Ovis aries: one gene and its partners. The protein of the gene in region 3 purifies or fractionates together with the protein of the main gene of each other region. This does not show direct contact. Links are inferred from orthologs where the notes say so. Each region holds a gene or a part of one and is shown on either strand. Other genes may lie near its edges. The genes, in order: FGFR1, CSNK2B, RPS6KA3 and FGFR2.

The links.
Region 1: the proteins of RPS6KA3 (region 3) and FGFR1 purify together in Homo sapiens (affinity purification with mass spectrometry; 4 studies listed by BioGRID and IntAct, with this or other methods). This does not show direct contact. The link is inferred for Ovis aries from reciprocal best matches to the Homo sapiens genes RPS6KA3 and FGFR1.
Region 2: the proteins of RPS6KA3 (region 3) and CSNK2B purify together in Homo sapiens (affinity purification with mass spectrometry; 5 studies listed by BioGRID and IntAct, with this or other methods). This does not show direct contact. The link is inferred for Ovis aries from reciprocal best matches to the Homo sapiens genes RPS6KA3 and CSNK2B.
Region 4: the proteins of RPS6KA3 (region 3) and FGFR2 purify together in Homo sapiens (affinity purification with mass spectrometry; 3 studies listed by BioGRID and IntAct, counting the BioPlex papers as one, with this or other methods). This does not show direct contact. The link is inferred for Ovis aries from reciprocal best matches to the Homo sapiens genes RPS6KA3 and FGFR2.

What each region holds. Positions count from the first base shown.
Region 1 is NC_056079.1:32,686,800-32,694,307, reverse strand, and holds the start of FGFR1 (fibroblast growth factor receptor 1), read left to right. Parts: upstream 1-3,302; 5' UTR 3,303-3,499; intron 3,500-3,761; exon of another isoform or gene 3,762-3,802; intron 3,803-7,508. UniProt on the Homo sapiens protein: Tyrosine-protein kinase that acts as a cell-surface receptor for fibroblast growth factors and plays an essential role in the regulation of embryonic development, cell proliferation, differentiation and migration.
Region 2 is NC_056073.1:26,711,496-26,719,087, forward strand, and holds CSNK2B (casein kinase II subunit beta), read right to left. Parts: upstream 4,547-7,592; 5' UTR 4,422-4,546; intron 3,822-4,421; 5' UTR 3,811-3,821; coding exon 3,739-3,810; exon of another isoform or gene 3,022-3,738; coding exon 2,919-3,021; exon of another isoform or gene 2,411-2,918; coding exon 2,295-2,410; exon of another isoform or gene 1,848-2,294; coding exon 1,772-1,847; exon of another isoform or gene 1,636-1,771; coding exon 1,446-1,635; exon of another isoform or gene 991-1,445; coding exon 900-990; 3' UTR 760-899; downstream 1-759. Other genes in the region: GPANK1 (G patch domain and ankyrin repeat-containing protein 1), read left to right, coding at 6,146-6,750, 7,317-7,592. UniProt on the Homo sapiens protein: Regulatory subunit of casein kinase II/CK2.
Region 3 is NC_056080.1:18,622,679-18,629,728, forward strand, and holds part of RPS6KA3 (ribosomal protein S6 kinase alpha-3), read right to left. Parts: intron 6,748-7,050; coding exon 6,586-6,747; intron 4,012-6,585; coding exon 3,935-4,011; intron 3,415-3,934; coding exon 3,297-3,414; intron 870-3,296; coding exon 729-869; intron 92-728; coding exon 1-91. UniProt on the Homo sapiens protein: Serine/threonine-protein kinase that acts downstream of ERK (MAPK1/ERK2 and MAPK3/ERK1) signaling and mediates mitogenic and stress-induced activation of the transcription factors CREB1, ETV1/ER81 and NR4A1/NUR77, regulates translation through RPS6 and EIF4B phosphorylation, and mediates cellular proliferation, survival, and differentiation by modulating mTOR signaling and repressing pro-apoptotic function of BAD and DAPK1.
Region 4 is NC_056075.1:41,082,773-41,089,822, reverse strand, and holds part of FGFR2 (fibroblast growth factor receptor 2), read left to right. Parts: intron 1-460; exon of another isoform or gene 461-798; intron 799-2,343; 5' UTR 2,344-2,458; intron 2,459-3,046; 5' UTR 3,047-3,170; coding exon 3,171-3,336; intron 3,337-7,050. UniProt on the Homo sapiens protein: Tyrosine-protein kinase that acts as a cell-surface receptor for fibroblast growth factors and plays an essential role in the regulation of cell proliferation, differentiation, migration and apoptosis, and in the regulation of embryonic development.

The DNA of each region.
Region 1 (7,508 bases), on a different chromosome or scaffold from region 3:
TTCATTTATTCCACAAATATGTGAGTTCTTGCTTTGTATTTAATGTTTTTTCATTCATTTGTAAATATTTATTTATTTACTTGTCAGTCAGTCCATAAACATGTACTGAGCTCCTACTATGTGAACAACACTATGGTAGTCACTGTTCTTTTACCCGCTGGTCCAATAAAAAAACTAACTTGGAGGCAATTTCCTGGCAGCCCAGTGGTAAGGACCTGATGCTTTCACTTCTAGGTTCCATTCCTGGTGGGGGAACTCAGGTCCTACAAGCCACACAGCACAGCCACAAAAGAAAAGAAATAACTTGGAGATACTTTCCTTAAATGTTGGGGCGGGAGGGGGTTGTCTTGTTCAGTTTTTGAGCTTCCACAACCTTGTGGGTTTCAATGAGGTGAGGATGAGGGAACAGGCCCTACCAGTAACTGACACAGCAACTTTATCTATATCAAAAGCAACACTTTGCGTGCGCTGAATTCCATTATTTTAGTTGATTCTGGTGACAACCTTGTGAGGGGGCTCTAGCCAACTGAGGGAAAACACGTAAACAGATCTTCAGTTCAGTTCAGCTCAGTTCAGTCGCTCAGTCATGTCCGACTCTTTGCCACCCCATGAATCGCAGCACGCCAGGCCTCCTCGTCCATCACCAAGTCACGAGTCAGTGATGCCATTCAGCCATCTCATCCTCTGTCATCCCCTTCTCTTCCTGCCCCCAATCCCTCCCAGCATCAGAGTCTTTTCCAATGAGTCAACTCTTCGCATGAGGTGGCCAAAGTATTGGAGTTTCAGCTTTAGCATCATTCCTTCCAATTTCTTTCAAATGCATGACTTGTCCAAAATCAAATAGTTCTTAAGTAGCAGGCCGGAAAGAAGGTATCTATCATATCTAGGGTGGCATACTTCTCACCTGCCAGTGGTCCCCTACCTGATACCATGGGAGCGGCAGAAAAACATAAGCTCTTTGCTCCTTCCTGGGACAGCCTGATCTCTCAAGTCTGAGCAGGTCCATGAATTTATATTTTTCAGAAGTTTTGGGAAGGATTTGAGTGAACTCCAGGAGTTGGTGATGGACAGGAAGGCCTGGCGTGTTGCGATTCATGGGGTCGCAAAGAGTCAGACACGACTGAGAGACTGAACTGAACTGATCTGATGTCCATTTGGATCAGGGAACCACTAGATTATACCAGCCTGCAGAAAGACCCAGGGAAAAGGGCATTTTAGCTACTTTCCCTCGAGTTCCTTCGAGTACTGGAGTGTGTGCTGGGTAGGCTTTGATCAATTTCCAAATCAACACTTCTCAGCTCCTCTCACTGTTTGCTTCTGAAACATTCACTGCAGACAGAAGACTTCCGGAGGCGGAGAATGGTGCTGCAGAACTGACAAGACTCAGCACCCCTGGACCACAAAACCTAGGCCATATGTTTGGGAAAGTGAGATGGAACCAAAGCTTCTGAGGAGCCATCAAACTTCTCATGAATAAAAGCAGTTTGACTTTGCTCAGTAACTCTGCGGCAGGCCCTTATTTAATCCTCAACTGTATATGGAAAGTGCTATTGTTCCCCTTTTTGTTGTTCAGTGGCTAAGTCATCTCTGACTCCTTGCAACCCCAAGCACGAGGGGCTTCCCACTCCTTCACTATCTTCCAAAGTTTGCTCAAACTCATGTCCACTGAATCAGTGATGCCATCCAACCATCTCATCCTCTGTCACCACTTTCTCCTCCCGTCTTCAATCTTTCCCAGCATCAGGGTCTTTTCCAAAGAGTCAGCTCTTTGCATCAGGTGGCCAAAGTATTAGAGCTTCAGCATCAGTCCTTCCAATGAATGTTTACGGTTGGTCTCTTGGGCTCCAAAATTACTGCAGATGGTGACTGCAGCCATGAAATCAAAAGATGCTTGCTCCTTGGAAGAAAAGTTATAACCAACCTAGACAGCAAATAAAAGAGCAGAGACATTACTTTGCCAACAAAGATCCATCTAGTCAAAGCTATGGTTTTTCCAGTAGTCATGTATGGATGTGAGAGTTGGACCATGAAGAAAGCTGAGCACCGAAGAGTTGATGCTTTTGAACTGCGGTGTTGGAGAAGACTCTTGAGAGTCCCTTGGACTGCAAGGAGATCCAACCAGTCTATCCTAAAGGAAATCAGTCCTGAATACTCACTGGAAGGACTGATCCTGAAAATGAAGCTCCCATACTTTGGGCATCTGATGCGAAGAACTGAGTCATTGGAAAAGACTTTGATGCTGGCAAAGATTGAAGGCAGAAGAAGGGGACGACAGAGGATGAGATGGTTGGATGGCATCACCAACTCGATGGACATGAGTTTGAGCAAGCTCGGGGAGTTGATGATGGACAGGGAAGCCTGGCGTGCTACAGTCCATGCGGTGGCAAAAAGTCGGACACGGCTGAGCGACTGAACTGAACTGACCTTTAGGATTGACTGGTTTGATCTCTTCGCTATCCTCTTTTACAGATGTGAAAACTGAGATACAGAGCGAGAACATCGTTTCCCCAGGGCACTCGGTCAGAGTCCAAAGTGCTACCGTGTGCAACCTGAGGGCTTCAGGGTCTCATCTCCATCCCTCCAACTGCTCATCCGTCCACAGCCCGAAATTCGTGCGCCCTCCGGGAGGGGCTCAGTTGGAGGGGCGGGCGCGCGTCAAAGGAGGCCAGACAGACTGAGGCAAAGGAGCAGCAGAGCGCAGGGCGACTCAACCCGCTCCCCCCTTCTCGGGGGCCCTCGGCTCAGAACTACAAGGCCCAGCAGGCAGCGGCAGGGGGAGGAGGAGGAGGTGGGACCAGCGTGGGGTGGGAGTGAGAGAAGGAGCCCTCGCGCCTTGCCGGCGCATAGCGCTCGGAGCGCTCCTGCGGGCACTGGCGCGGCGGCCTCGGCTGTGGCTGCGGCGCGACGCGGGAGCCCGAAGTCTGGTCCAGCCGCAGCGCGCGGAGGAGCCCGGGCTGTGCCCAGAGCTGGGCGGCGACGTCCGGACAGCCCCGAGACTCCGCTTAGCGCATTGCGGCGACCTCGCCTTCCCCGGCCGAGAGCGCGCGCCGCAGCTGGAAGAGCGGCGGAGCCCGAGGACTTTTCTCCGGTCCGAGGGGCGCCCCGCCGGGCGCAGGGGACCAGGGCGGCAGTCGGGCACGCCGCGGCGCCGGGGCCCCCGCCAGGCGATGGAGCTCGGGCTGCCAGAAGCTTGAGGGCCGCCGCCCGGTGCTGGAGAGGGGGGGCCCACAGGGTCTGGAGACCCCGGGCGGCGGACAGGAGCCCTCCCCCCGCCCCGCCTCCGGGGCACCAGCTTCGGCTCCATTGTTCCCGCCCGGGCTGGAGGCGCCGAGCCCCGAGCGCCACCGGCAGTCGAGCGCCGGCCGCGGGGGCTCCTGCGGCCCCGCCAGGACCCGAGCGGAGCCCGGGGGCGGCGGGCCGGAGCCAGGGACGCGGACGCCCGCCCGCCCGCACGAGCCACGGCGGACTCTCCAGAGGCGGAACCGCAGCGCCGAGTGAGGTAAGAGCCGCGGCGCCCCCGGATCCGGGGCGGGCTCCGCGTCCCGGGCGGGCCCCCGGCGCCGGAGCCTCCCGGCCGCGCGCTCTCCCCGCCGCAGCGCAGTCGGGTCCGGCGCCTCCCTCCGCTCGTTACCCGCCCCTCTCCACCCCCGGCTCCCTGCCCAGCTCCCGGCGCCCCCCTTTTGTCTCCCCTCCCTTCCCTCCGCTCGCGTCGCCTTCTGCGCCCCCTCCCCGCGCCCGTCCCGCCGCCCAACTTTTCCGCCAACTCGCGCTGGGGAGCTGGCGAGGCGGCGGCGGCTCCGCGGTGAGTCCGGGGAGGGACAGGGCCCGGGGCCGAGGCGGCGGCGGTCCTGGGTTTCCTGGGCCTGGGGAGGCAGGCGGGGGCGGGCAGCGCGGTGGGGTGTGTGTGTGTGTGTGTGTTGCGTTCCACACCATCTCCTTTTAGTCCACCCATGGGGAGTCTCCGCGATCCAGCAGGTAGCTTTGGGTGGAACGCTAAAAAAAAGAAAAAAGAAAAAACCCGGGGTCCTCCTAAGTCCTTTTCCATCTCCGGGAAAGTCTGGGGTCACTGCCGCAGGCGGGTGGGCGGTTGGGGGCCTGAAAGGGGAAGGAAGTGGAGGGGTCGGTTCGCTTCTCTTCCAGTCGGTTTTAAAGGGGGGTGTCGTCACCAAATGGCTGAAGCTGCTTCAGCGAAGAGCGAGAAAGGAATTCCCTTTTTCGAGAGGCGCTGATCTCCGACTTAGTCCGTCTCTGAAAGGGTCGGAAGTTTGGGGAAGGGGAGGGCGCCCAGCGGGTGAGGTTAAGCCCCATTACGGGGTCTGGGGGAAGGGATTGGTCAGTTCCTATCTGGTTCGAGGAGGTGGGGGAAGGGATGAGGGTTTTGTCCGGTGCGGTTCGCTCGGCACCGGCGCTTGTTGCTTCGCGGGCCCAGAACCCTCTGCCCCCTTCCCGCTCCCCTTTCCCGCTATGTTTGGGGTGAGGAGAAGAGGGGGGCTGGAACCTTCGTTTGCAGAGGAATTTATTGACGTTGTAGATGCGATCATTTAACCCAGATCCTATGGAAGCAGTCAGATGCCTCTGGTTGGGGAGTGGAGGGCTTGGGGAGCGGTGAAACCTGCATCTCTTGTCTGGACCCAGAGGCTTTGGCCCTGTTCAAAGTTTCCGCCGTGTCTCCCCACCACCTCCCCATCACCACTCCCCCCACCCCCGCCCCATTTTCCAGATGTAGCCGCCGCATCTGGTTCCGTTTCACCCCACCCGGGTACACCGCAGCCGCTTGAACGTCCCTGTTCCTCCCTGCCCCCTCCCCCGGATCGAAACAGGGATCCTATAACTTGTCCTCACCACCTCGCTCTTTACGATTTTTTCTTAAGACTTGGGTACGAGGCGCTGGGACTGGGGGAGAGAAGTTACCCTGGATGCCAGGGTACTTAGGCTGTGCTGGCGCTTTCTGGCTCGTGCGGGAAAGGGGCATTGCCGGCGAGAGGAGGTTTAGGGGATGACAATATCTCCTCTGATAAGTGGTGGCCTCTTTGGCCACCGGTCTGACCCAGAGCTGGCCCTGACAGAAGTTTCTGGAACCGGAGCATTGCAGCCTCCTCCCTTTTCAGTTAGAGCCGGAGCGGCGGGAGTGTCTGACCCTGTCCGGAGCCCGCCGCCGGGTCTCGGGCCGCCCGGCGGTGGCGTCACGCGTCCCCTTTTCCACCCTCCCTGGAGCAAGCCCGGGGCGCAGCGGCTTGGGCGTGGGAGGGGGGCCCGGGCTGTGGCTCCCTTGGTGTTTTGAAGGAGTTCTTTCTTTGGGCGGCCGCTCCCGGAGGCTAACGTGGGGCGTTTTACCAAGTCCGCGCCGGCCGCAGGTTTGAAAGGGGTTGGCCTGTTGAGGGTTTTTGGTTCTGCCCTTTGAGGCAGGAAAGGGCTTTCTGGTTCCAAAGTTGCGAGAGGGTGGGGAGAGTTGGTCTCTCACCCTCTCCTCTCCAGCCTCTTTCAAATTGAAAACACTTCTCTGGTTTCCTCCTTTGGGCGGTCGTTCGGAGGCTGTAATGAAATCGCACTTTCTCTAGACATGGTAATTAAGGTGACTGTTTCCTCCGCAGATGGCGCTCTATCCTCTGCACCTCCGGCCCTGCGCTTTTTTTGGAAAACAGTCTAAATTATACAACCTTAGCCTTGAGACTGTGGGGCAGAAAGTGGCCATTCCCCATCCTCCCCCACCCCCCACCCCCGAACTATTGGCCCGGGCTCCCCGTTTCCTCCCTGAGGCTTGTTTAAAGGCTAAGTAGCAGGGCCCCTTGGGACGTGCCTCCGTCTGGTTAATTACACCCCCCCCGCCCCCCCCCGCCCCAAGCCTGGGTCATCAGCCTTCCTTCCAGTGACCCAGGGGAAGCCCTTGGTGGTGTTGGTGGGGAAGACCCAGAGACCTTAGGGAGGATGGCCTGCCTCCCTAATGACTTGTTTACGTATTCTACCCCCTCCCCGCCCCCGCCCCCAAATGGCTGGGAAGACCTCCAGGGCTGCTGCCGTGGACCGCCCCCCCCCCCCCCCCCCCCCCCCCCCCCCCCACCCCGAGGAATGCCAGGTGTTTGGGGACTGGGAAGCTGCCGGGGTCTCGGCTCCAGCCTGCGATGGTTGCATACTGAATCGGGTGAGGAGCTCGTTGAAATATCTGTTGCATTTATTCTTAGTCATAGCGGAGCGTCAGCTTTTTAATCAGGGTCATCCGGGTGAAGAGCCGCTTGGACAGTGTGCACGCCGCGCGCTGTCTGCTCTGACGGTGCCCGTAGAAATGCGCGTTGGGGAGGCATTTTCACGAATGGGATTTGGGCCAGAGTGGGCACTGTTTTCTTTGGCTCCCAAGTAGAGAGCCTTGGGTACTTACTTCTTTTCCTTGGCTCCTGGCCATGGAGGATGTGAGAAAGTTCCGTTAGGCACCCTTAGAATAGCAAGTGAAGCCAAAAGCAGAAGACACAGAGAAGGAGCCTGGAAGGTGCTATGGCCCCACCCCTCCTGGGGGAGAGGATCAGAACATCTCCAGATTTAGGTCTGGTCCAGCTTTGTTCCTGTGGACTCCAGTGGCCAGGAGGATGGAGTTGAGAATGGAGGAGGACGCCTCCAGCCACGGAGACCAGGCTGGACTGCTCTGGCTTTTAGTTGTCTGCTCTTTGTTTGTTTGGGGGTGTTTGGGGAGTGCTTTTTGTTTGTTTGGGCCTGGAAAAAAAAAAAAACGAGTCCTAAAAGAAGAGATTTGCTCCTGTGAGCTTGGGCCTTTAGTGGCCTCTGAACACTTTCTTCAGGCCTCCATTTTTTAATCTCTCTCATCAAAATGGCCGTGGTTAAGAGCTTCCTAGGAAGGTTTCAGCCTGTTGCTGCAGGAGGAGAAGGACAGAGTAAGTGACTCAAACATCTTACTCTGAAAAGGCCTCACCTCACTGGAGAGGAGTTTTAATTTCCTCTTGGGAAACAGGTCTCGCATTTGGCTTCCCAGGAGCTTTGTAAAAGGTCTGAGTCAACCCCAGGACTTGTTGGGAGTCCAGATGCAGAGCTTCAGAAAAGATTCTGGGGTTTCCAGAGAGGATTAAAAAGTGGACCTGGACTAAGACTTGCTTTTCTCCCTAAGGCTGCATCTTCCTGAGAGAAATTCCCTGCTCATCACCATTCCACTTGCAGTTACAAGGAGCCACGTTCAGGCTCCAAGAAAACAGCCCCCACCTGGGTGAACACCTCCAAGCGTATGGTGGTCCACAAGCCATCCTGTCTTCAGTGGCAAGGCTTCCTAGATTATAGTGGGACAGTTAGAGTTTCTCTTCTTATTACTCATTTCTTACATACCTCACTCCCAGGGACATCTGGGTACTTTTTTTTTTTTTTTTTTACAAGGACTCAAAGCTTTTAAATGAGCATTTCTGTTGGACCCAGTCACATTTTGCAAGCCGAGCTGCGGATGTGTTGTCGGATGTTTGTGGAGTATTTGCCCTGCCACTCTCTGCCCGGAGTAGGGAATGCTCACTTTGGGG
Region 2 (7,592 bases), on a different chromosome or scaffold from region 3:
AGCCTGAACTGCAAGGTGGTTTTGACAGGTAGTCTGGGCAGGAGCTGCTGTAGGTACAAAGCTATACTCCTCCCTGGGGCAGGAAGCAATTAGCTTGGCAGGAGAACATGTCCTCACCCACCTGGTCTGGTTCCTGAATGTGGGAGCGGCAGCCCAGACAGGTGCAATATCTGGGCCCCAATCCAGCAGTCTACTTTTGTCCTGAGTGTCCCTCAAAGATCTGTTCCTGCCCCTCCAGGGTCCATGGATTAGTTTCATTCTCTGGTACCATCTGCCATCCTCCCTACACAACAGGGCCAGTCCCTATTGTTCTGGGAGAAACTTTAACCAGGAACCCAGTGACCTTCATCCTTCTGAGATGAGCATGTCTCAGCTTCCCCAGGAGGGGGCACATAGACACAAAACAGCAAATTCTGGACCTTGAACCTCTTCTCCCCACCCCTTACAGTTCAGTTTATTTTGGGACCACTTTCTTTATAAAACTCAAAGTGATGTTGATTACATCCCCTAAACAGCCAACTGCAGGCAACACAAAAAGAGCAAATATTTCTCCAGTCTTTGAAATCCGATTTCTGTCTTTGCCTCGTGATCTCCGTACATCCCTACACCCAGTCCTAAAAACATCACCCAAATCTACTGGGTACAAATCTGTGCTGGTTTTCCACTTGAAGAGAGTGGGCTGAGCCAGGAGGGCTCCTGGGGCCCAGCATACCATTACCCGTGCTTCCCCAACCCCAAACACCAGCCAATCAGCCCATGGCCTTTTCTTCCACTTTATTTCATATTCCCACCACAATAATGACTCCTTTAATTTAAACTAAAAACCATAGAGGGTTCCTGAAATTGTGGCAGCAAAGGAATGAAAGTGTCAAAGACCGAGGGACAGGTGGGGTGGGGAATCAGCGAATCGTCTTCACTGGGCTCTTGAAGTTGCTGGCGGCTTGGAGCTGCAGCTGGTAAGCCATTGGATGGATCTTGAAACCGTAAAGCCTGGGTTGGGGCAGAGGTGAGAGAGGAAGCACAGTGAGCCCCATCCTGGCCTGCCAGTGGCCTGCATTCCCCCCTACCCCAGTTTCTTCATGGGCCTGCTCAGTACTTCAAGGCAGCGGTTCCCCAACTTCTCCCTTTAAGAATATTTGGAAATGTATTTTAAATATCTATTAAAACTCAAATTCAAAGCTACAAATATGTGTCTGTACATATATACATGAGTATATACATGGCAGTACTTGTTTTAATATAAAAGCTGAACTTTCTTTTTCTACACCAGAGCAAAAATGATACTGCAGGAAGATCATACACTTCAACCGTGGCTCTGAGAATTTCCTAGCGAAAGTTGAGCACACAAAATGGCAGCAAGGCTAGCTACTGCCTCATCCTCCCTTCTTTCTGGGGGATCCAAGGCACTTCTTTCGACCCTTGGTGACTCTGTCCCTGCTCCCCACCTGGGCACAAACTGGTTGGCGGGCCTCTTGGGCCGGTACTCGGGGTGCACCATGAAGAGCATGTGAGGGAAACCGGTGCCGAAGTAGGCGCCATCCGTGTGGTGGTGCCTCGATGACTTGGGTGTGTACACGTCCATGCACTTGGGGCAGTAGAGCTTCACCATGGCCTCACCTGGGATGTCTGAAAGGCCTGGGAGACAGCCAGACTCAGCAGGCCAGGTTACCCAAGCCTGCCCAACCTCCCTCCTGGACTCAGGCCCCAACCTGCTGAGCCCCAACTCCATCCCAGCCTGCCATGGCCCTCCTTTCCCTTTCCCAACACTCACCGATGGGAAGCATTGGCTGGTTCTCACAGTACACACGGGGACAGTATCCAAAGTCTCCCTGCTGGTACTTTTCCAACTGATGTGAATGAAATTGAAGGAGTTGGTGGGTAGGTATGAAGAAAAGAGGCAACCCCCTCCTCAGCCCAATCCACATCACTGTGTCCCCAACTCCTTCTGCCTCTTAATGTCCAGAGGCCCCTTCTCTGGCTCAGATGGGCCTTCAGACTCCCCTGCTTCCTTTCATCCAGTCAGGCAGTCTGAAGATCATCAGACATTCACTGCTTATTCCCTGAGGAAGAGGCAGTCTACAACTTTCTGCTCTAGGTCACATCTCCCTCCCCCAAAACACTCCCTTCACCTCAACCCTCAATCAGGTCTTAACCCCTAGGCCCAGATTCTGGGGTTCTTTCCCCTCTTCTCAGCTAGATTCCGTGACAAGGCTGAAACGAGTGACTTCTTGCTGATGGAAACTCTGCTTCCCTGTTGCCTCTGAAGGAACCGAGTAGGAGTAGAGAGGCCTCACCATCTGGGCGATGCCACGGTTGGTGAGGATATAGCGGGCGTGGATCAATCCATAGAGCATTTCGGCTGCTTGCTCAATCAGGTCACTCTGGTTGGGGTTGTCTTCCAGCTCCTCATCTGAAACATGGCACCAGCCAAATGCAACCACTTGTCTTACAACTTTTTAAGGTGCCCTGCCTACTCCCAGGGGCTGCTGGCTCTTCAGCCCAGCACCCAACTTGGAGCCTCACCCCACCCACAGCCTGGGCCTCTGCCCCTTCCACCAACCCAAGGGTTTCTTTCCATCCCTCTCAGCCTCTGCTTCCTTCTCTTTTTTAATAAATAAATGCAAAGATGTCAACACAGAAGATAGAACTCTAACCTGGAAGGGGCAAGGAAGAAGATAACACCCATGGAGAAACTAGCATTTTCGATAAGTGCTAAGTTATAGGATCAGAGTATGAGAACAAGTGTAGAAGTCACAAAATTAGGCAAGAGTGAGGTATGGAATCAAAATGAAGTAAAGGATTTGGGGTTAAAAGGGTTAGAGAACCAAAAGGAAATTTAGAAATTCATGAAGCAGATAAACAAGGTGTGAATAGGAAAAAAACAGCACACACACAAAACAACCCTGAGGGTGTCTCACCAGGCTCCAGGTCCAAGATCATGTCTAAAGCTTGTCGATAGTGAGGCACCTGTTCATTGAGTCCAGTGAGATTGAATTTGTCCTGGATATAGTCTTCATCCACCTGTCAGGACGTGAAGTCAAAAGGAAACCCAAAGCAGAATCCTCAGCTTTGACCTGGGCAGGGTGCTCTAACTCGTGCCTTATCTTCAACACAACTGCTTCATTCCCTTTGTTCCACACTCCCAACTCAGCAGAAGTACTTGAACCTCTCTCCCTAGTTCGTGTATACTGCCCACCCAGAAGAGGTCTGGCTTTTTTCTCCTAAACATAAGCAATCCCCTCCTTACAGAGGCAGTCCTTTCAAGATCCCTGTCCTGATTCCTGTTCCTAGCTCTAGGAATCAGTTTTGGCCTCTCCTGAGGGGCAGCTGGCTCTCTGAGGAAGGTGGGGGCTGAACAGCTTGGATTCTGAAGTCAGTTACACTCCCTTATGTTAACACACAGCCATGCTATAAAACATTTTAACGTGAAGTGTTTTAATTCTCCTAATAGCTACCAGAAATACATACTATCAGTACTTCCCTGGTAAAAAAAAAAAAAAAAAAAAAAAACAACACAGGTTGACAAGTCCAACATTAGGCTGTTGGAGGGTGGCAGGGTTGACTTGGGGTCTCAGTCTTGACCCTTCACCACAAGTTAGAGAGCGCTACTAAGGAGACTCCTCCTTGACAAGAGTTTTTACTAAAGTATGTAAGAGAAGTGTGTGGAAGCTTTATGTGCAGGAGATTATGTGGCCAGATTACATGTGGAGGTGGATGGTAGGGTTGAGGAGAACTCACCTCACAGAAGAATTCATTGCCACGGAGCCCACAGAACCAAGAAATCCAGGACACCTCCTCTGAGCTGCTCATCTTCACGTCGGCTAGAGACAGAAGAGTATAAGCCTAAGCTCTCCCTCCCAACCTCTGGTATCCTCACTCCTCCCACACTTTGCCCTCAAACCATGGAAGAATTTGGGGCTACCCTTTTCTTAAAGAACCCGAGACTGGAGCACGTCTCTCTAGCTCCTCTTATTTACATTCCAGCCCCTTTTCACTGAGATTACATAGAGAAATTCTTCGGGGTCCACCAGCTGTGAGAAACCGACAGGTCTTGACCCCACTAGTCCTACCTCCATCCCTGACGCTCCTGAAAGCCAGGCCCCTCTCTCCTCCGTGTCAACTCCGGTAGGGCCGTGGCTCAAGCTCCCTACCCCCGCAAGTCTCTGGCCCCATTCTCAAGGGTTCCGAAGTTTATCCTTTCCAAGCAAGAGCTGGGCCCTCCTTTTCTCATGGCCTATAGGTGGTGGTCAGGTCCGTTTCATAGAAGTCCCGACATCCCGCCTCCACCCTTCGGGCCACCTCTCCTACCCTCGGTGCCGGACCGGGTCATTTCCTTTCCCACCCCCACATCAAGACGCGGAGACCCCATGTGCCGCGCCCAGGGACAGGGGACATGGCGCGGCGACGACCACCACACTCACCGACTGGACGGGGACTGGGACCGGGGGACGGGGAGGGGAAGGGGAGTTTCTGCTTCCAAAGACCGCGACGACGGCTACAACGCAGGCCGCGGACCCGACCGCGGCAGGCGAAGTGGGGTGGGGGGAGTGGAAACTGGGGAGGGTGGGGAAGAGGGCAACGCGCAAGTGCTTAGAGTTAGGAGCCGCGGTGCATGCCGGGAAATGGAGTCCTTGGGAAGAAGAAACTGACGAAACTAGGGAAAAGCGAACTACAAATCCCAGGATGACCCGCGCACGACCCTGGTGTCACGAGGCCCCGGGGGAGGGGTACGCTGGGGGCGGGGCGCAGCAGGGCACTGCGAGCCGCCACCGGAAGCGGAAACTCAGTACCGCGTTCTGGGCCAGGTAGCCTGGGAAATATAGTCGTGTGATTCCGGGGACTGCAGGGCCATGGAGGGGAGGGGGTGGGCCGGGAGAGGAACTAGGCTGGCTGGTTGCTTCTTGCTTCTCCCATCAAACAGCGAGCCTCAGGCCTCGGCGAGACTTTGCTGCCCGGGGCATTGACCTCATCCCCAGCCAGCCAGCCCTCCTGGCCCTTATTGCCTTGCTCCTTGGAGTCAGCCCGCCAAGGAGACCCGCGACGGGGCCCTTGTTTCATCCGGGGTTCGCGCAGCGGAGGCGGGAGGTGAGGCCGGGTTCCATGCTGAGGGTCCTGGGTAGGGTGTACTGGGATGAGCTGAGCGGTGTGAGAACCAGGACGGCCCCGTGGGCTAACCTGAGGTGGTGCCAGCCATTCTGCTGCTTGTCCCCTTGCACTTCTCCATTTCCTCTTAGGGCTTGAACGGGGCTGCTGTGGGCGCTAAATGCGACCTTCGAACCCTGGTCAGAGTAATGGTGAGGGGCTGCGTGACGTTATTTCATTTCAGGGTTTCTGGGCATTCTCCGCCTCAGAGCCTTTTTTAACCCTGAGAGTGATTTCCCAGGTCCAGAAAATGAGCTCGGAGCGGGGGCCACGTTGAGGGAGGAGGCGAAGGGCATTGTGGGGGCGTTATGTAAAAACAGAACCCCAACCGACGGATCTTTCTCAGTCCTCGCGCTGCCCCGGCACGTGGTGCGTTGTGCTTCTGCTATGGAAACATTCCAGGGCGGGAAAAACCCGGCGCTAGCGCGCGCCTGCACCCTCAGGTGTTTTGTTTTGTTTTGTTTTGTTTCCCCGGCCACGCATGCGTCTTTGTGCCCTGTGATTATTTGTCGACTCCTTTGCTTAGAGTAGCGCCATTTTGCAGTACGGAAGCTATAAAGCGACACAGACTGGAACCTCTTCCTGAAAGCTGCTTCCTGCTTCCGGAGACGTGTCGCGTTTGTTTTTGTTTGGGAAGAACTTACCCTGAAATAGGAAGATTTAAAGAGCCAATTTGATTGTTTTTCTTAATGGTATGTTTTACGCTGTGATAAAGTTGTCTCAGAGAGGCTGGTATTGTTGGTGCGGATGGAGGTAGGGGCGGAGCGCACGGTCTGGGCAACTGTCTTACGGAGACTTCTTTCTTACCTTTATTGAGGGGCATTGTCTGTTACTGACCCTACAGGGTCCCAGGTTGTGGGGTCACTTTTGGGTTGGGAGGGGATTTTTGACGCTAAGGATACTTTTTGTTTATCTCATTAGGTGTCTGGAACTGGCTCTGGTCGCTGCAGGACCACCAGGGGCTTGGCTTCCTAGTCTCATTTTCCTAGATTTCCCAAAAGCCATGTCTGGGTCTTCCCTCATTAACTTTACCCCAGCCACTGATTCCAGTGATCTGTGGAAAGATGGGCAGCTGCAATCACAGCCTGAAGAGCTGGAGCCCATCCTGGAGGGGGCTGCAGCCCGGGCTTTTTACGAAGCCTTAATTGAAGATGAGAGCAGCACCCCTGAAACCCAGAGAGCTCAGCCTGGGCCTGCCAGGAAGAGGAAGAAAAGAAGAATGACGAGGGAGACTGCAGCAGGAGCAGCAGGAGGACATGGACAAAGGAGATCCCTTGACACAAAGGACAAGACGACCCAGCAGATACTGAGGGCAGCCCAGGAGGGGGACCTGGCAAAACTAAAAAGGCTGTTGGATCCCCGTGAGGCAGGGGGAGCTGGAGGGAATATCAATGCTCGGGATGCTTTCTGGTGGACCCCTCTGATGTGTGCCGCCCGAGCAGGCCAGGGGGCAGCTGTGCGCTATCTCCTGGGCCGTGGGGCTGCCTGGGTAGGGGTCTGTGAGCTGGGGGGCAGAGATGCTGCTCAGTTGGCTGAAGAAGCAGGTTTCCCTGAGGTGGCCCGCATGGTCAGAGAGAGCCCTGGAGAGACAAGGAGTCCAGAGAACCGGTGAGGGAAGCCTTATCTTTTAATATTGTTTAAACTTTTAAATCTATTTTTGTTTTATTGAAGCATAATTCAAGTATATAAATTACATATGTACAATATAGCAATTCAGGATTTTTTAAAGTGATATTCTGTTTATAGTCATTGTAAAATATCTGCTAAATTTCTGTGTTGTACACACTCTCTGGGTTTAAATCCTGATTGTACTTCTTGGGCAAGCAACCTAGCGTCCATGTGGCTCAGTTTTCCTATCTAAGAAATTAGACTATACTTCTTATAGGGTTGTTAGGGTTAATTAAATGGGTTAATATACATAAAATACTAGAACAGTGCTTGTATTTAATAGCATAGTAAGCACTGTACAAATGTTAACTATAGTAATTATTATTTCCCACCCAAGAACGTTGTGAGGCCTTAACCATTCCTTCAGGTCCACTGTTGCTAACTGGGAAGGAAAGACAATTTGTTTCTTGGCAGAGATACTGGAAGGACCTTGTCCCACCCTGCCACCCACCTCTGAGGCCTAAACCCTTGTGTTACCCTTAACCTTTCTCTTTTTTTCTCTCCAGGTCCCGATCCCCCTCCCCCCAGTACTGTGAGACTTGTGATGCCCACTTTCAAGACTCTAACCACTGTACATCCACTGCTCACCTGCTGTCGCTGTCCCGGGATCTCCGGCCCCCCATCCTACCACTTGGGGTCTCTACCTCCAGCCCAGGCTTCAAGCTGCTGCTGAGGGGGGGCTGGGAGCCTGGAATGGGGCTAGGACCCCGGGGTGAGGGCCGTGCCAACCCTATCCCCACTGTCCTCAAGAGGGACCAGGAGGGGTTAGGCTACAGACCAGC
Region 3 (7,050 bases):
CTCTCCGCTGAGCAAGAGTAGAGCGGCCTACTGGTTCCAAAACTGGTGACTGATTACGGTTTAAAGCAGAGTATGTAGCTGCCATGGCACCCTGAAAACAGGAAAGAAAGGTCACAAATAATGACAGAGGGTAGTCACTTATACACAGAATAGGAAATGAACTTTCCCCAGATAATTTCTTCACATGCAAATTTATATAGATTTTATTAGGCTCATAATTAAAATAATCACACTAGTCAAATCCTCTGATCTAACTAAAATTGAAGAGGCCAATGAGGGAGGTTGAAATTATGGATGAGAGAAGACAGGGGTGGGCTCATAACAACCAGTCCTTACTTTTCTCTGGACTATTCAATTGTTTTTTACCTCTGCAATCTTTTACCATGAGAGTCAGCAAGGAATGCTGTTTTGGAACTTGTGTTTTACCACTGCTGACAACCTCAAAGAGTCTGCTTTGGGTTGTGTGTAAGAAAGAACAAAGAAAAGTCAGGAAGTCCACAAAGCTTATCTGATTAATAAACTCAGAAATCATTCCTGAACTAGCTTTAGGATGGTATTTTGGCACGCCTTGGCTTTTTCTTTTTTAAATCACCCACTGTATGAGAATCTCACCTGAGAAGTGGATGCGTGTTGAGAGGCAGTGAAAGGGCAAGGTGCTGTGGTACAGAGACGGCATCTCAGTCTCCCCTGGAGGGCATGTGGCATGCATGCCCCAGTGGGCTGCTCACCTTGACCAGATGTGGTGCATCCTGTCTGTTGAGTTGGTATTGCGGCAGTTGGTCCCAGTGGACAATCCAAGGATGTCTGAGCACAAGGGCAGCGGTCAGTCTCTGGTGAGGGTCCACATGAAGCATCTTTGACACCAGGTCCTGTAGTGGGAAAAAGAATAAAACAAGCTTAAACCTGTTATTTGTTTTCCTATAGCACCTGATACTGTGTAGTATTCTTCCTTGGTTTCCATGACACTATTCTTTCTGAGTAGCAGACCTTTGGGTACAAAGCAATTTGGTCAATATGACAATGTTTAAAAAAAAAAAAAGTAAAAACTTAAGTCTTTGTTTTCTCCTCCCTGAGTTAACAATAATTCTGGTGCATTGCAAAGGGTAAATTTACCACATTTTATGTATATTTAAGGACTTTGGCTCTTTTTTCTCTCATATATTCTGATTTTCTCTACATTTTCATTGGTTTATTTCTAAGTAACTTTCAGCTACTTAAGATTTTTTTTGTACTACTGGTAAAACTGAAAAGCAGGATACAACTGTCTAATAACAGGAATTAATTGGAGTGTTCTAAATGCTCCCTCCAAAGATTACAGAGTTATTTTTACTTTTTTCTACTTCTCAATTTTGTGGGTATTCAGCATATTACATTATACTTATAATCACAAGTATTAACTGGAAAAATTAGCAAAACTTATTAGTAATCATGTGGCATTCATAAAATAGGCTGTGCACTAGATGTAATTTTTTTTGCATTATTTGTATCTCATCCTCACCTGCCTTTCACTCAAAAAAAATCATAAAATGCAAGTGAATGAGAACCAAATTATAAAAATCATAGAGATAAGCTAGACTTGCTTTAACTTATTAAAAAACCAGGCAATGTATAAACTATGGTACTTTCTGTGGTAACATTACTTGATACGCCTGACAACCAATTGTGACCAAGTTTGCAGTCGATCCCAATGGTTAAAAATTACTACTCCACAGTGACCTTGAAAAAGGAAAATCTGACCACTACAATGCTTAGTATTTTTCAGCAGCTCCCCAGTAATTAGAGAAAATCCCAAATCCTGAGCATGACTGACAAAACCTTTCATAACTGTGGTTCATCAGTGACCCTGTTACATGTACCTTGTAGTGGTCACATCAAACTCTGTGCACCACCCTGGAGGTACTGTGCCATTCCCATGCCATCATGACCACGCATGGGCTGCTCCCTCAGCCTGGGATGGACTACATCCTTCTGCTTCCCAAAGCTGTCTGGCCAATCCCTTCAATGCTTCTGGAAAGCCTTCCATGAAACCTTTCTGATCAAACATCATCTGTGAACTTCTTTAGCACAGTAAGCAGAGCACTGTAAAAGCACATGTGACACTGAACTGTATATTTCTGGCCATCTCACAACTAGCCTGAGAGCTCTCTGAGATCAGGAATTCCATCTGAGTCCCATCTTTTATCCCTGGCACTTTCACTTATTAAGCACAATGCAGGTGCTCAATACATGAATTTTAAAAAAGCAAAAAGTACCAAGAAAAATGAATTACCTGGTTTAAGAAATTTTATTGTTAAACAAAGGGAAAAGCTAACATATCATTTTAAATACAGTTATAATACTAAATATTATCCACACAGATATTAAACTAGTCAACTGAGGCTTCATATCGATGCCAAAATTATCTACAGAAATTTCTGACATATCCTATTTACTAATGCAATCATTTCAAGTCAAGCATCCACCTCTAAGAAAAAGGAGTGAGCACTTTTTACCAATAGTATCTCCCTCATCTCCTCTATGTTTTTCTTATTTTGAAATGGAAAACTTTGCTCTTCTTTTCAAACAGAATTTTCTTCAAATGAACTGAAAGTGAAACTAGAGGAGAGTTAGAAGGCAGATCAATGCTATTCAGGGGATGGCGAGTCTGCTAGCAAGAAAGGCATTTCAAATGGATTTCAAGTAGACACTATAAAGCTAAACTACTATTTATTGAGAAAAAGATAGACCCCTTTCTTCATAATATGGACCAAAAACAGAACACAGTACAGTTATTCTAGGGAACAAGGACTTTGGAATTGGCTGTTTCTTTTGAAGCACCTACTCATGCCTGCTGTGGAGAAGTTCACACTAAAATTCTGGGCTTTGGTTTCCTACTGGGAAATGGTGACACTACTAGCTATTCTACAGTGTTGTTAGGAGGATTAAAGGGGATAATCTAGGTGAAGTGCAGTGTGAGGCACAGAGGAAACACACAGATCATCATGAGAGCCTGGGATGGACTACATCCTTCTGCTTCCCAAAGCTGCCCGGCCAATTCCACCGTAAGCATTATTCATCATGTTCATTAGTAAGAAGTACCATGAAATAGATAGATAGATAGATAGACAGATAGATAGATAGGCCAAACCAATCTATTCTGGAAAAGAAACAACATAAGTGGTCAATTTTTGAGTCTGAGGTATTTGGCAACATCATTTCAATACTGCTCTATCAACAAGTTTCTAACTGATATTTTTTCTCACTAGGGATTATGAAAAATTATTTTCTCAAAAGCTTTAATAGGAAGCCATACTTACCTTTGCTGTGTCTGAAACAGAATTCCAGTAGCCACCACTGAGTGAGAATTTTCCACTGCCTATTCGAGCCAGTATTTCCTCTGGTGTATCATCAGGACCATTTGCAAATGGAGTGTAACTAATTTATAACAGAATAACATGCTAATGAATAAAGTTTCTTTTTTGGTTGGTAATTTTCATATTTATTTGCAATATCCAAAAGTACTCTAAGTAGTTCATTTAATGTTACACCTCATCAAAATCTACTTAAGTAAAAATTAACAACAATATGAAGCTTCATAAAGTACCAGGTCAAGGTATAGGTTATGAAATATTAATTTAAATTTAATATACAATAATATAATTAAGACATGACATACTATAGAATAATAAATTTAAAATAGTATATGTTTATGACACAGAGTACAAAAATGATATAAAAAAATCAACTCATAACCTGAAGAACTTAATAATAGTACATTACAGAAAATAATAATACAGGTATAACAGTGATACACACATATACACACAGAATTGTATTATTAAACAACAAGAGAAACTATGGGAAGAAAGTATTATAAGAGATTAAAAAATAAATCTAGATAATGTAACCAAAATTATCGATGAATAAATGCTTACAACATACGGTACACACTCACCCAGTAAGCATTGTGTAGAGGAGGACACCAAGACTCCATATGTCACAAGCAGCATCATAGCCTTGTCGTTTTAAAACCTAGAAAAAGTAAAAATTAGTATCAACACACTGTTTTTTATTATACAGATTTGGATAGGCGTGAACTAAATTATGTCTCCTAAATCAATGCATACAAGAAAAATAGCATGATTAACAAACAAGGCAATATAGTAATACTACTTCTAGAAACTTCTACTAATACTTTATATAAATTTAAATTCTGATATTCATCTTAATTTATCAAACGCTGCTGTGGCACACAGAGGACTATAAAAATAAACTGAAGGTAAATTTCTCATTTAAATGTATTTATATTTTGTAAGGGGCTGCAGAAATAATTAACAAAACAAAGAAAATATAACAGTATAAATGGTATAGGGCAAAATTGTACTTTTATATATATACTCAAGATTTAATCATCACTATTATCAGGCATAAACTGTGACAAATACAAAACAACTGTTTTCTCTAAGAAAATCAGAATCTTGCAAAGGAAATAAACATATATGTAGTTAATTCAACATGATAAGTTTTCTAACAAAAATATGTTTTAAGGATATGGGTATAAAGATGAAGAAGCAATTCACTCTTGATAGGGGAGAGAGGGAAGAAGGCTCGGAGGCAACCTGCTTGTATTGGGCCGATAAGGAAGAATTCAGGAGGCGAAATCAAGACGTGGGAGAGAGCAGGGGCAAGAGAGCAGAGCCTGCTTAGCGACATGTAAGTTCAGTGTGGCCAGATTTCCACACAGGGGATTCTATAGAGAGACTGAAGCGGTTTTTAAAGGTTTTTTAAATTATTTGTTTGGCCACACCACGTGGCTTCTGGGATCTTAGTTCCCCAACCAGAGATCGAACCTGGGCCCCAACAGTGAAAACACCAAGTCCTAACTACTGGCCCACCAGGAAATACCTTGGAAAGCTTTTTATAAACATCTTGTTAAGGAATCTAGGTGTTTTTTTTCCCCCTGCAGGCAATCAGATGTCATTGAAGCATTAAAGAGGAAAATAAAATAAGTGGATGTGTATACCAGAAAGATAACTCAAGGTATAGAGAAAATGCTGGCAAGAAGAGAGAATGGACACAAGGCCACCTCATTGGAGGCAATTTGTAGCAAACTAAGTGAAAGGCTGTGAGGATCTGTACTAAAACAGGACATGAAGAGGAAAAGACATAAAGATAAAATGGGAAGGACTCAGTAAAGACTGGATATACAGCGTAAGGGAAAAAAGGTCTAAAATATTTAGGAATCAGAAAGGAAAGGATCTGGTGATCCACTGAATGTGGAGAAATAATACAGGAGGAGGATTTTGGGAAGAGTTAAGAGGTCAGTCTAAGGACAGTTTGATCATAGAAGATTTCCTGAAGGTGAATTTAGAGGCAGGATCTGAAGCAAAAAAAAAAAACATTCCAATGTGCCAAGACATAAAAGCTACATGGTGATTCCAAGAAGCAGACTGCTTATATGAAGTAGGAAACAATCCTGAGGAAAAATGAGATGGCTGGATTAGGGGGTCATGCTTGGACACCAGTTTGTGTCAGAGGCTGTGGATATGTCAACAAATAAAGGAAAAAACCTGTCCCTCATCAGTTCTAGTATCACTGGGAGAACTGAATCAAATAAACTTAAAAAAATTTTTTTTCTATCTAAAAAGTAAAGTTTGGAGAACGGACAAGGGAATCTGAATCTATAATCCAACTAGTCTAACGTTATCAACTATTATCATTTTTGTGAAATATCTAGCACATGGTAAAGCACAAACTTTGTAGCTGGGTTTCTTGGGCTCAAATCTAGATCTGATCTCAGGCAAATGGCATCACCCCTCACTGTGCACCCTGTTTCCTGTAAAATGCAAATAAAATTACTCAGCTCACATAGTTATAATGAGAACAAATTATTATACCCAAATTAAAGCTGAGAGGATGAAATCTGTTAACATATGTGCCTGACATGCAAGCCTTATATTAGGATTAACTATTATTTTTTATTATCTTGCTTCTAGTTTTAATTTTTTACATAGTGATAATCCAAAGCCAAGAAATTTTGAGGGCAAAACATTGGATTTTAGAGATGCTATAATGGGGAACTGCAATTTCTTAGGAAAAGCAGCAACCTGATCAAAGCAGTGCTTGAGGAAGACTTCAGCAACTTTGCAACATCTTTGTGGACTGATCAGACAATGACAAAAGGGAACGCCATGCACCTAGGCTGTGGCAGTCACCTGGGGCTGTGGTGAAGGAAGCAGGGGCTAGGAAGGCAGGTCTGTGAACAGAAGAAGCCCAAACTGGTTGTAGGGGATAACAGAGATGCTAACTGGTTACAAAGCTAAAGACAAGAAAAGACCATGATGTTTTAGCTTTAGAAATACAGGAAGATGGTGACAAAAATCAGGAAATTCGAAGAGTATCAGGAAAGAATTTTCCAGGCAAGGATACTGGAGTGGGATGCTGTCTCCTTCTCCAAGGGATCTTCCCGACTCAGGGATCAAACTCAGGTCTCCTGCATTGCAGGCAGACTCTTTATCATCTGAGCTACCAGGGAAGATGGGCAAAACAAAGCAAATGAGTCTTTAAATATACTGAAATATTGCAAGCAAACTCTTTCACAATTACCTCTGGTGCAACAAAATTTGCCGTATAACAAGGAGTCATGAGAAGACCATTTTCTGCTCTTAGCTGTTTAGCAAAGCCAAAATCACAAATGCGAATAGATTCTGGATTGCCAGATTCATCCACATAAAGAATGTTGCTAGGTTTCAAGTCTCTGTGAACCACCTAATTGAAATACAAATTAAAGAGCTGCATTAACAATACGTCTCCATTATGGAAAATTATTTATCACAAACTTAACAAGATGATTGGTAGTGACCTTCACATTATTCCAACAGTATAAAATACTAATAGTGTAAGTATAACTCTCTCACACAGAACTGTGGCAAGGAAAGGAGGAAGAAAGAACAGTATTTATCTCCCCCCTCACTTTGTCCAATTGAGTGGATTAATGAAAAATGCAAATAGCAGTAATATCTGTCTCCAAGTTATTCATTGTTCAACAAATATTAATTGAATATCTATCAT
Region 4 (7,050 bases), on a different chromosome or scaffold from region 3:
GGCCGCGCCGGGGAGTCAGCCGAGGGCTGGGCCCGGCGCTGGCTCCGACCCTCGCGGCCACCGGGCCAGGCGAAGGGGTCCGGCTCGGGGCCGTGGAGCCTCAGCCGCTCCCCTCGCCTCCCGCTCCTTTGCAAACTCTTCTCCGGACCTTCCTTCCTCTCGCCCAATTCAATAAAACCACCCTTAAAGGCAAACCTTCTTTCACCCATTATGTGTTTGGCGTGAAGCGCTATCAACATTTAAAACCCCATTGTCCCCTGGGTCCCAAATCCCTGTAAATCTTCCACCGGCCTCGACTCATTTTCATCTGAAAAGCCTGTTTAGTTTGAATAGAAAAGCAATCGGGCGCCCCTCTCTCTCGCCCTGGAATGTCAATTAAAATGCAGATTTCTCTGAGCTCTTTAGCGCCCCGAGAAGGGGGAGAAATTCACTATATTCCTAGCACACAAATGAAACAACTGCTACAATTGAAACCGGATTGGTGATGTTGAGTTCTCCCGGAGCTGCTGCAAGTTCTTGGCTTGCCGGGGGTTAACGGGGAAGAGAAGGTGGTCCTGGGTCAGCCTGTATTTTGTCTTGAAATTTCACTGTGTTGAGGAATTTCCACCCCCACCACATCTGACCCCTTGAGAGCCCCCTGCTCTGTTCAGGCATGGGGGTCCTAGGGAGGCTTGGAGCCTAGAAGGTGGGTCTGCCTCCTGGGGGCCTGGGCACCCCCCACCTTGCCTGGCACTTTTGACTGATGGGAAATCTGCCGGGAAAGAAGCTCCCAAGTGCTCGGGTAGAGACTCAGTTAAGGTGGGTGCTATATTGGCTTGGCTTCTTGAAGGGTGGAGGGTTTGGGAATGTTCTGTAAATTGCATGGATCTGGTATAGGGACCGCTCCCCAGCCAAGCCCTCTCGCTTGTCACTTTGCCTGTCTTTGGGGGCAGGCTTGTGCCGAGGTGAAAATGGACAGGGGGGTTGGGGAACGGGTGGCCAGGAAGAGCCATCCATCACTGGGAGGGTGACAACTCCTCCCGCTCCCAAGCGGAGAAGAGAGTTCCCTTTCAAGGGGAAAAATAAACACGCTGGGGCTTTCACTGAGGCTCAGACTCCAGGAAGGATTATGGTATTGAAGGCAGGAAGCTGGGATTGTGGCCGGCAGCGGCACGCTGGGCCTGTGTTCCCAACACTGAGCCTGGGGACCTCATTATCCTGCCCAGGAGGTCCCTCCATACCTTTGTCCACTCGGGTGAGGATTTGTGCGGACCTGCCACCCTCCATCTCCACTTTCCAGAGATTTGGGAAGGAAGGGGGTGGCCGCGGAGCCTGGATCTGGAAATGGCTACATAAGTCAGTTGCTGGTGCAAGCTGATGGGGTGAAGGGATGGCTTGAGATCTCGCTGAGGTCACTCACTGTCCGCCTCTCCCTGCAAAGGAAGCTCCTTCAGGCTAGGACAGGTAGGTGAGGGGGCTGGGGAAGCAGTCTGGGGCCCACTCTCTTGCTGGGATTTTCCTGGAGTTGTGTTAGAGGCAAAAAAATTCCCATGCATTCTGGAAATGCTTCGTAAATCAGTGAGAATGTTTGTGTATTCTCCTCCCACGTGTATGTAGAAATAGATATGGACTTATCTTTTGAGGCTCTTACCTCAAAGAGGAAAGAAAAACTGGCCAAAGAAATCCTTCAAGCAATCTGAAAGCACGGGGTGGACGCACGCGCTCTTCTTTTGCTGTGAATCACACCATTTCACGTGTGCTTTCTTTTGAAGAAGAGGCTTTCTTTTTTCCTCCTCTGAAAGTGGAGCAGCGTCCTCTTTTCCCCTTGCTCACTCTAATCCTTAGTCAAGGCTGAAAGTTTATTCTGATGTAGCTTTGGGGACGCTCAAGCAGTATTGAAATCCCAAGTCATAATCTGAAACATGAAGTCCGCAAGCAGAAAGCGTGGGGTTTCGAGATTTGTATATTAAAGGTCTCACCTCCACCCTCAATCCTATAAAATGTGGTTCTTTCATATGTAATTCACAGAATCTGTGATTGGATCAAATTCTCTGAAGCTTGTGCATTTTGGTTCTTATTCTTAGTAATTGATACTGAACAAATGTAAAGTCTTGGATTATCTTAAGCTTGGAAATTTCTCTTTGCTTTTGAATTAAATGGGTGAGCAGACTAGTACATTGAACACCCCCTGGTAACTTCTGTTCTGAAATTTTAGTCAGTAAGTTAGCATATTGAAAGTTATTGGCCCAATCACCTACCCTGAGAGTAATTTACATATCATCATCACCATCATCATCATTAATGAACACCCGTGTTATTCAAAGGAGTTTGCATCTGCTCTGTTTCTTAATGCACTCTGTCTAGTTTGAAGACACGCACTAGGCCTGGGCTGCCATTCGTCACAGTGGAATGGGATTCAAGCTTTGAACCTCTTTTTGGATCAGCTGCTTTGAATGTATTGCAGTCTCGTTCATTCTTTGTAAGTGTCTGCTTGGCGAAAAGATTGAAATACATTTCTGCATTTGAAAATGAATCTTGACAAGTGTAAACTGGTGGGAATTTTTGGTCGCCTTCCTGGGGTTCTTTTTATTTTGCTGGTCTCCCTTCCTCCCGAGGGCTCCAGGGAGGGTGGAGCAAGCCACTTAGCTCCAACCCCCAGAAGCAGACACCTCTGAAGCCCAGTTGGTGTGAAAGAAGTTAACAAGAGGCTGGCTATGCCAGCCGGAGCATCGTTAACTTGGCTTTTGTAGTTGCCCTTGAAACTAAGGTCACGTAGCTTTGGCTTTTGGAGGGCGGGAGAGGTGACAGTGGGTAGGAGGAGAGAGTCCGCTTGCCCAGCTGAAGTGGCTGCACGTATCTGGGTCCTGTAGCTACTCTTTTTATCTCTGTTTCCTAAGAGTAGGCTTTCTCAACCGTCAGCCTAACACGTTTTTGTGGACCGGTCTGGTGGAAACCCCTGGGACTCAGGTGCGGATGGAAGGTATTTGCAGATGATGAAAGAGAACTGGGTTGAACTAAATTGGTATTGGGGAAGATTTCACTGACTTGCAGTGTCTCTCTCCTCTAGAGGTTGCAGCAGCAGCAGCAGCGGCAAGGCCAGCGAGCGGCTGCCGCAGCACCTTGATTCCTGAGCCCACCGCCGGCTGAAGGCATTGCTGCAGGCAGTCCATGCTCGTAGAGGAAGGGTGCAGATGGGATTAACGTCCACATGGAGATATGGAAGAGGACAGGGGATCGGCACTGTAACCATGGTCAGCTGGGGTCGCTTCCTCTGCCTGGTTGTGGTCACCATGGCAACCTTGTCCCTGGCCCGGCCCTCCTTCAATTTAGTTGACGATACCACGGTTGAGCCGGAAGGTAAGTTATCTCATTTCGCTCTCAGGGTACCAAGTTTGGGGATTTGTCTGGGGGAAGTGGCAGTGAGGTCAAGGCCTGTTTGAGAATCAGCTGCCCCTTGCGTTGTAAAGGAGACCTCTAAGAGCGGAGCTTGTGGCTCTCTGCCCCCTGCAAGCCAGGGATTACAAGAGAAGGTTCTCAGCTGTCACGCTGAGGGCAGGGTGGTGTAGTTCGGTGGTTTCTTGGCGTGTGCGTTTTTCTCTGTGCTGGGTAAGGGAGGCGGCTGGCAGTTCATCCAGTGCCAGGAGAGCCGTGGCAGGCAGCTCAGAGTTGAATGCCATCTACCACTCCCTGCTTACCCGAGAGAGTCTTGCTCACAATGTAAAGGATTGCAGTTTGCCGGCAAAAGGAGTCATGCAGGGAAATTGCCAACCTCTGAAATGCTGACATTTTATTTTCATTGTCTAAGGAGAGAAAGCTTCTGAACTTCAGCGTGGAGAGGGTTGAGACATTACATTCTTTTTAGCCCTTGTAATTCATAATACTTAAGCCACACGTCACAGAGCAGCAGATTCTATTTTAGGTCAATTTGAAATGTACCTGGGCCTTTCCCGAATCTCTGAGAACTTCCAGATCTAACAGGGTGTGCGTTGGTGTTTCAGCTGTGGAAATTGCACGCAGGCAACACATTATGCATTTTGGAACATGCAGAAAGGCATGAGGCCAGTTGTGAGCACAAAACTCACAAGGGCTGAATTTTCCCGCCAGGCAGACTTGGAACCTCTTCTCCTGGGTCCTTCCGCGACGTCGGTAGCCCAGCCTCAACTTGGTGCCGCACGAGATCTGTCATCAGTAGGGAATATTGGTAGCTGAGTTATTTTTCGAGTGGTAATCCGAGAATAAAACGGCAGATCCTAGCACTCATCGCCACTTAATGAACCTGTTTGCTGAGAGCCCACCTGGTGCCTGCTGAGCTCTGGGGGCCTGCGTGGGCTGGGGTCGGTCAGCTGTTCTGGAAAAGACCCTGCTCGGAAGAAGACCGCAAGCCTGTCCAGGACCAGACCGGGAGGGGAGGGCTGTGTCCTCATCCGAGGGGGGCTCCCACTGAGACCCTGAGTCATGCAAGGATAAAGGCATATCTTTTTTTTTCTAAAATGGAGGCGCTTCTTACTAGAAGCAGCTCAGCAGTTGCGAGTGGAAGCTTGTGCCCTTTTTCTTACCTAGAGGTATGGAGGTTTGTAGTAAACAGGTGTAGTGACGCTGCAGTGGCTTCCAAGTCTCCGGTAGGGAACCTGGTAGGAGTTTGCGTCTGAAGTGTTCACAGGCTCTGGCTCCAGGGATTATGGAACTGCCTCCTGGTGACATGAGCTCCAATGTCACTTGCAATGGGGATGCATGTTTAAAGGGCTTAACTTGAGGGAAAAGGTTCCCAGTTTCTGAAAGTCATGCCTGTACGTCTTTAATTTTGCTAATAATTAAAATGGATGTTTCTCTAATTGCCGGTTTTCCCTGGGGTGCATGGCTCAGTACACACACTGAGGCTGCTGAACAGGAGGGTTTCCTGCAGTGTGAGCCCAGGAATGGCCTAGGTTAGGAAGAAAATGTCATTTCTCATTTCGACTTTCAGGGCAGCGTGATTGGGAGTTTATTTCAACATAAAGTGTAAAATGGTCCTGGAGGACTTCTTTTTATCGTCTTTAATTATTGAAGGGAATTTAAAAATATATGTGCACATACTGGTAGGAAGAGGTGAGGCAGGGATGGGGAGGGGGTGGAGACGGACGAGGACGCAGTACCCCCCGGCAGTTCTTTGTGTAGAAATGTGCATTCAACAATGTGAGTGTTGTTGGAGGCTGGTCTTCCCAGCCTGGCATCTGTGAATGCACTTGGGGGTTGAGGGGAGGTGCCTGAATTCTCTGAAACGGGAGGTCATATTTTGGGGTTCACAGCTCCTATGAGGTTTGCGTCCAGAGTTGTGAGAGGTTTTTTTCAAAGGTTTAGTGGAAGCTGTGCAAAACCCTGGAAAGAGGTGGCTTTGGAAAAAGCACACAACCCCCTGGATCTCAGTTTCCTTTTCTGTCATCTGAGGGCTGGATTAGATAATCTTCAGGGTCTCTTTATTAATGTTAAATGAATATTGATATCTTCAGAAGCCTTCTGATGACCCGCCTCAAAAAGGTTGCTAGGAGATTTAAGTGGGTCTGGACGTAAAACGCAGTTAGCACAGGTCCTGCTGTCTAATGAGTACCTGGGACAAGTTGTTGTCCTTGTTCCTGGTGAGTTGGGCACGCCCATCTTCCCAGTCCCATGGGCTGGCTGTGTCAGTTGCCACAACATCAGGAGACATCTAGGCTTTTGAAGAAAGTTGTTCGCTGATGGAGGAGCAGCTGTGTTGGCTTTCTGTAGGGTCTGCACTTCCCCTGTCGACTGATTTGAGCCCTAAGATGAATTCTTCCAGCGCAGGAGTTTAGCTTTGGTGTCAGAGGCTATTAGGAAGGTAATCTAATTATAGATGAGAAAGAAAAATTTTTAGCAACTGGAAGCAGACTAAGTCGGGCAGCTCCAGTTTAGGCTGTGGTCCTGGCGAATTGGAGAGAGACCGACAGAGTCCCCCATCCATGTGTGTCCATCAGTCGCTATCTGTCCTCCATGGCATGTTTTAACTATAGCTTTGGATAAAGTAAGTTCAGCCTTGACTTTCTATCCTACAGGGCCTTATCTTGGAAGACTTTTTGGCTTGCTAATGCGAAAGCTCAGTTTAGATAAATGTGGCCAGAGAAAAATGTGACTAAGTTCCAGGAAGGGGCCTGAGCCCTCCCTCTAGAGAATCCTTTTCCAATTGTCTCAGCTTTGTACAGTATCATCTCATTGATCATCATCCCATCCCATCCATCATCTATCATCCTGTCATGTATCAACATCATCTCATCTACCATGTATCATGATCATATATCCCGTCACCTGTCATGTATCATTTGTCTTCTGGACACGTTCTGAAGTGGTAGCTGTAGGTTTGGGTCTACTCAACTGACTTCAGAAAATAATCTCTAGAAGACTTTACTTGTTAATATTCCAGACTAAAAAAATGAGTATTTTTGGTTGGTCAGTCATTCTTGTCGGGGACCAGCTGTGCAGGGTTTAAACTCAGTTACTGACTCTAGGCGGCCAGTCCTCAATGCCAAGTACTGTTCTGTTGATTAAAGTTCTAATTATTTATAGTCAAGCTTGATTACCCTGTAGCAGAGAGGACTCTTGCTTTCAAGTTCTTCCTGACATTGTCACCTACTCTGGTTAATTAAGTCGTTGTTGACTTTAACGACATCTTTGTTTACACCAGCCCAGTAGGAGTTAAAATAAAAGGCCTTTTCCAACCCAAAACCTTTAATTACTTTCCCACCCTCCAGAAAGTTTGACGCTGAGAAGTAACAACCTGGGAAGAAAGTAGTTTGCTTTTTTTTTTTTTTTTTTTGCAGTCAGTTTTGGGGCAACCTTCTGAGGTCATGCTGTCCTGAGCTGATGTGAATTGGTCCAAAGTTCAATAGCAGAGAGATGGAGCAGGGGGTCTACATGGAGACTTCCCCACTGTCAGAATTTTCCAGTGTGGGTTAGATCTTTCGTTAGAAGTATTGTAAAGGCCATAATATCAGCCATACGCATTTAATTGCAAGTTAAAAGGAAAAGAAAAAAAAGAATATATCCGCATACCAAGAATGAATGATTTAAAATAATCTTCTG